2 linked regions of the Daphnia pulex genome follow. The main gene of each other region encodes a partner of the protein of the gene in region 2 in a complex. Links are inferred from orthologs where the notes say so. Each region holds a gene or a part of one and is shown on either strand. Other genes may lie near its edges. The genes, in order: G-protein-signaling modulator 2-like and disks large 1 tumor suppressor protein-like.

Region 1 (2,421 bases), on a different chromosome or scaffold from region 2:
GGCCGACGACGACGGACTCTACGGAGCAGATAGCAAGGCAAGGCGCAGGTTAAGCATGGAGCGCATGGATTTGCTCAAGGTTTGTTTGTGTTCGTCCGCTTTTGTCGCTTTGTTATTATTCTTGGCTTCTATTTTCTCGCATACCGCACCCTCGCGTTCAAACTTGGGAAGGTGGGAAATCTACCGGAGACCTTCCAAAACTTCTATTTTTTCTCTTGGCAAAATCTGCAGCATGGCGATTTTATTATTATTTTTATTACCGTCATCATTGTTTTCGTTGGTCCGTTTCAATTTCGGTTGCTTGCACTGTGATTAATCCAGCTGACGCCGGATGTGAAACAACTTCATAGCAAGGGACGCCGGGAACTGCATGAAATGGATCCTGTGTGGCCTAGACCGCTCGCTGGTCACCCGTTGGTTAGACGTGATATGCTGCCCCCGTTTGTAAGTTTCAACAATCCTCTCTTGATCCGGCTCTATCGGATGGCTCGTTCGTCTGTCTGCTTCTTTCGCTGCCAGTCTATCACAACTGTCACATCTCATAGTCTCGCTTGTTGTTTTTGTCTCTCTATTTCTGTCCGTTACTACCCTGTTGCTAACCGGAATCCATTTCGTTTTGCAATACGATAGGCCAACGGAGACGACGCCATGGATGAAGAGGAATCCTTTTTTAATTTGGTCACTCAATTCCAATCGAAACGCATGGACGATCAGCGTTGCTCGTTGGCAATCGTAGACAACAAGGAGAACCAACAAGCAAGTACACTCCCGTCGAATATTCACGGTGAGTTGTTTTTCCAGGGAAACCAGGGAGGGGGGATACGCGCTCCTGGCGTCGCCCCGAGTTTTGTTTCGTTTGCCTGCTTCTACGAGGGAGTGTGTTTTTATTTTCCTCTTTTTTCGCATATTGTTTCGATAGAGAGCCCGTCGAGATTGAAGGAAGATTTAATGGACCTGATCGCCGGCATGCAGAGTCGCCGGATGGATGAGCAGAGAGCTTCACTACCGCGACTACCCGGCCTGAACAACGCCAATCCAGACATTTTACGTCGGCTGTCTGTGGAGCCAGCCGGCGAGGATGCAGCCGCATTGCCCGATGAGAATTTCTTCGAAATGTTGATGCGGTGTCAGGTTAGATATTCTTCCACCTTTTTGGCCGAATTTGTACTCGTTTCTTTTTCACGAACGACTTTTTAAAATGATTTTTTACTTTTTATTTTTTTCATCGTGTAGGGTACGAGGCTGGAAGATCAGCGCAGCGCCTTGCCGGATACATCGCCTCGGCGGCACAGGGGGCCCACCATGCCCGACGAAGACTTTTTCTCGTTGATAATGCGACTCCAATCGGGTCGACTCGAGGATCAAAGAGCCGAAGATCCTTCACCTCTCATCGCTGCCAACGGAGCTGCCGCCACTTCCTCCTAGACGGAACGGTATCCCTAACCTCTCGGAATGTTTTACCCCTCCTCGCCATCAGCTCTCATCCATGATCGAAATGTATGTTGACAGTCTCTATCAATACCCTCTCTCCATTTTTATTCGTTTCAAAAAATAGCCATTCCCTTTTTCTTTTACTTTTGACCGAGTTTTTTTTTCCAAAAAAACTCTTCCAACTTCACATCCATTTCATTCGCTCTCTGCCTCCTCCTGGAAGTAGAAATCGCGAAAATTAAATCTCACCATTCCTCCTTTGGGGAACAAACAAGGGGAAGGGGGGGTTGATTGTCCGTTCCCGCATGGTTGCACACGAGTTCAAAGGAGTCCCTTTTTTTTTCCGAACATGGCAGTTCTTGTCTTCTCTTTCTATTCCGTTGGCAGAGCATTGTTCCTACTCCCAACGTGAAAGGCAGTTAGAAGACAATAAATAGGCCTATTCCTCGTTTTATTTATTTTTGTCCCCATCTTTTTTTTTTCTTTCTTGGATCTGCAGTGGAAAGTCATCATTGTTGTCGTGAAAACGAAATTGTTTGTCATGGAAGTTTTTAGAGATGAGATTAAGTTGGCGACAGTGTGAGCAAGAAGGGGAAAAAAACAAAATTCGATTTCTCGTTATCTTTTCACTTTGGTGCTTGGTGGGCTCCTTTCCTTCGGGATATTTTCGTTTTATTATTGTAGCGAAATGAAAATGTTTCTTTTTTTGTCGAGGACTGACGTGAAAGAGATGTAAATGCAGATGCCTATGGGGGTGGGGGGTAAACGAGTCGTGTTTTTGTTTCCTCCCAACATAAAAAGCGAGGGCCAAAAGGGGATTGGAACGAGAGCACTTTGTTCTATTTTTCACGCGAGTAAAATGAATCCTGTTTGATATTCAACATCTTCCATACGCGTGCGCAAACTTTTATTATTTTCTTGGGTCTGTCTTGTTGCACGGCACCGATTCTGTTCCCTCCCAAACTTCCAAGGCCCACCCCTCCTCCTTTA
Region 2 (3,926 bases):
AACAAGAATAAAAAGAAAAGCCCTTCTTTTTCTTCTGTTTTGTGTAGAATATAATACCGCACTCCCCGAAGATTATAACATCCATCAGAACTGGAAAATTGCTGTCGAGATCTATCAATTTTGGGCCGCTTCTTCCAACTATATTCCGTTGGTCGCACACATAGACAGACAGACAATCCCGGGACGATCCATAACGTTATTTCGTCTTGTTTTTCTTTCTGTCGTTTTGCTCGGGAAACTAAACAGTCGAATGGGACTGTGATTTAAAAAAGGGAGAAGAGAAAAGAAAATCAGATTTGCATACACAAATCAAGTCATCGTTTTTCGATTCTTTCTAGACACACAATCTTCTCGGTCGAATGGACGTTGTGTGTGTGTTGCCGCTGTTCCGTCATCCATAACAACACAAAGTCTAATTCGGAAATGTCAAAAAAGAAAAGTCTCTTATTTTTGGGTGGGTTATTTTTCATCGTCATACATTTTTATTCCGTGAATTATTTAGTACTGCTCTGCGCTGGCAGCCATATATACATGGGTATTAGTTGGGGTGGGCAATCAAGCCCCGCAGTAGTCCGTCTTGGGGTTTTTTGGAAGCCAACAACCGCGACCGGATTAGTTTTGAGGCCCACGTCGTCTAATCCTCTGGATCCTTTTTGTTATTTATTTATTTCCAAGAAAGAAAAAGTAAATAGGGAAACGATGTGGGCTGGTGGGTTTTTACAAAAGAAGTCTGTCGACCGACTGTTGCTGTTTTCTACTACCTAATCTGTCTATATGCAGAGACGTTGATGAATGGAAGGCGAAAGTGGATTTTCAAGAGCCACTGTCGATCGAGTAAGAGCTAGTCGGCGCCGGCGCCGCTATATAGACGCTGGGTCCGTTTTGTGTGTGTTGTACATACGAGTGAGGAGGAGAAGACCAGCATCAGCCGTTAGCAGATGTATTCGCCTCTTCCGTGGTGGTGGATGTTGTTGCCTTTCTCGTCGACAGGACGGCGGCCTCGAGTGATCTTGTACCCGGATAAAATTACAAAACAAAAAGCACCACGCAGGATTATTAGTATGTCCATCAGGGTCTATGAGTGATGTGATGGCTATCGAGAGGTCCCGGACGACAGGCCCCGGTTGGTGGCCATTATGATGGCCCTGTTCGGCTTACTTTGGCTAATGCGCATCCGAGCGGAAGTGAGAAAAGACAAAAGAAAACGGTCGTCCAATCATCCCGGATTGGACGAGCATCTATTACTGTTGCCTCCTCCAGTTTCATTCGCCGACTCTAAACAACAACAGCAACAACTACAAGACGAGGAGGACGTTGTTGACGACGATGTGATCCCTCCGCCGCCTCCGCCGCCTTTGAGGCAGAACGTGCAAATCCATCGCTCCTCTTCGTCCATCCATCGCGACAGTTTCCAGCGTTTCCAGCAACATTACCCCATCTCTCAGCAGCCTCCGAGATTCTTCCAACAAGCTCAATCCTTCTCCCGTTCCGCTCAAAACTTACCGCTAAGCACCTTGGAGTGCACTTGTCCGACGGGCGGCGGCCGCCCAGCTGTCCGCCGGCCGGCTGTCCGATTTTGTGACGATCCATTCGGATTCTACTCCGCTCGTGGCGCTCAAAGTTGGAATTATTCGACTCTGCCACGCAATCGGCCGACGTCTCGATCCGCGCATGGTTGGTTATTCGGAATTCAATTAAGCTCCGGCTACTAGGATTGGTTGGCGGCCATACCGACACACACACACACACAAAAGTTTTCCAACAATGGAACGTCGACGACGACGAAATTTCCTTGTTTTTGATTACTTTTCTAATTTAAAGATATTAAGTCGTTGGCGCGTGTTGAATTTGATTGTTATGTACCTCTCAATCTATTTCAAATTGAGCGCCATTTCCATTCCATTAATGCGGCTGTCAAAACTAATTCCACGTTTTCCCCGTTGTAAATAGACATTCAGGAATTTTACGAGTTGACGTTGCTGGACGAGACGAAAACGGTGCAACAAAAGACGGCCGAGACGCTGCAAATGGCAAGCAAATGGGAAACGGCTAATCAACAGTCAGGGCCGGCAGCCGTCATCATTCCGACGCGGTTCGGCGACAGCATTCAACAACAGTCGTCATCTTGCGTCACGGCCGCCTCGACGTCGTTCCCGATGGAGGTAAGAACCCAATACAACCTTCGTTTGAATTTATTCGCAACTGTGGCGGGAGTGGGTGGCGTGTATAAAAAGCCAAAAGAAAAATCATTTTTCATTTTTGATGAAGCGATGTGGGAAACGGAACTTGGCGAATCCATGAATAAGCTCAAATAAATCTCATCCGAGTGCGTGGCTTTCTTATTCGACTCTGGATGAAACGAAAAAAAGTTGTAGGAGAATTAGGCGAATCGCTCTAGGAAAAATGTATTCAACTTTTAAAGAGCATTTTTGGGAGCGTCGGCTTGTATCAAAAGCTCCGATCGATTTCCCGCCCTCGCCCCCCCCCCCCCAACACACACACAAACGCCATGTTGATTTTGATTTCGACATCAACAAACACCAGCAGCGCAAACGTTTTCCAAAGCTGATTGAAGCGTGTTGCGGGTCGACGAGCTGAACCAACAAGAGAGCCACGGGATTGGCCGTTGCCACCTTGTTGACTTACACGTTCTCCCTACCAGATCTGAAAATCGTTGAATTTAAAAAATCATTCGCTTTATTTACCCGCCGTTATTATTGATGAATTATTCGGAAAAGAAAAAATCAACAAACTGTTGAATTAAAAAATAAATTAAAACCAACTTGCAACACGGCCGTGTCATTATCGATTTAAAAATAAAGAAAAGTTGTTGGGACGCGGAGTTTGACGCAACGGTTCGTTGCTCAATTCAAATACCCCGCCAGCAAGAGTTTGAGGATGAGCGTTTGCTCGTCGTGAGTCTTCATCTTCAAACATAATGAGCGGCTGTTCATTGACGCCCAGACGAGCTTGAACTCACCCCGCCCGGGTATTGATCCTCCTTCCCTGTCAGTGCCCGGCGCTGCGTGCAATGACGTCAACTACCCCGTCGTCTTTTAAGTCGCCTACTAAATGGACTTGGTGGAGGACCAGTGAAGATAATTTAATTTTTGAATTTGTGTTATGTGGGACCAGCACGAGACCAGTCCCTTTCTCGAGAAAATTAGAAAAGAGAATCGCTAACCGCTTGATGAGAAATTGGCAAGTGCCCCCTACTTGTAGTGGGCGAGGGTGGAGAAGGCGAGTGGCGTTGCGTCACGCACTTACCGGCTTTGAAGAGAGACAATCACGTTTTATCGTCGGCCAATGAAATGTTATTCGAGTTAAATGCACTACGCTGGTTGAAGCTCATTTGAAGGAAACACGTTTTTACGAGGCTGGATCGCTGGATAAGGGTACGAATCTCTTTGGGTTGGCCACCATCACTATATACTCTACGTTTCGTTAGTGCGTAGCCCAAGGGCGCCAACTCTCTGTACACTGGATACCGTTGGGCGGATGGGCGGACGAGAGTGTATTGTTGTTGTTGTTGTGGTTTTACCCCCCCAAACCGTGAGGTTGTTGCCATGCCAAGTAAATAAAAAAAAAACCCCTGGCAAACAAGCTTCTGGGTTTAATGGTTCAACAAACAGCGTGATAATACACTCATTTGTGACAATCACGCGGCTCTTGTGTTTGAGCTGCGTGGCGGAGGAGGAGGCCATCGATCGAGCGCCGGGGCGAGCGGCTACTTACTTACATCTCCAAATGGCATCTCTTAGACCATCTTATCTCTTCTTTTTTTACTATTCTTTCTCCACCCTTTTTTTTTTTTAGAAATGCGGATTTCTATTTTTTTTTCGCATCCGCCGAGGAACTGGGCGGTCCCGGAAACAGTTGGCTGTTCCCTGGCGCGCGCTTCTTTTGTACCAGATATATATACAGTG

What was found.
Region 1: the proteins of disks large 1 tumor suppressor protein-like (region 2) and G-protein-signaling modulator 2-like are in contact, whole or in part, in a crystal structure (PDB 3TVT), measured with the Drosophila melanogaster proteins. The link is inferred for Daphnia pulex from reciprocal best matches to the Drosophila melanogaster genes dlg1 and pins. Residues at the interface, in NP_996406.1 of Drosophila melanogaster: Cys808, Val809, Pro810, Arg814, Arg817, Arg824, Asp825, Tyr826, Ile839, His842, Phe844, Ile845, Glu846, Ala847, Gly848, Gln849, Tyr850, Tyr855, Ser877, Asn879, Arg883; in NP_524999.2 of Drosophila melanogaster: Arg434, Met437, Gln439, Leu440, Asp441, Leu442, Ile443, Lys444, Ile445, Thr446, Pro447.

What each region holds. Positions count from the first base shown.
Region 1 is NC_060018.1:4,015,528-4,017,948, forward strand, and holds the end of G-protein-signaling modulator 2-like, read left to right. Parts: coding exon 1-79; intron 80-321; coding exon 322-444; intron 445-630; coding exon 631-784; coding exon of another isoform or gene 785-919; coding exon 920-1,131; intron 1,132-1,233; coding exon 1,234-1,425; 3' UTR 1,426-1,885; downstream 1,886-2,421.
Region 2 is NC_060025.1:300,810-304,735, forward strand, and holds the start of disks large 1 tumor suppressor protein-like, read left to right. Parts: upstream 1-989; 5' UTR 990-1,136; coding exon 1,137-1,674; intron 1,675-1,950; coding exon 1,951-2,162; intron 2,163-3,926. UniProt on the Drosophila melanogaster protein: During embryonic development, some isoforms are essential for proper neuronal differentiation and organization. Required for cell polarity; maintenance of apicobasal polarity.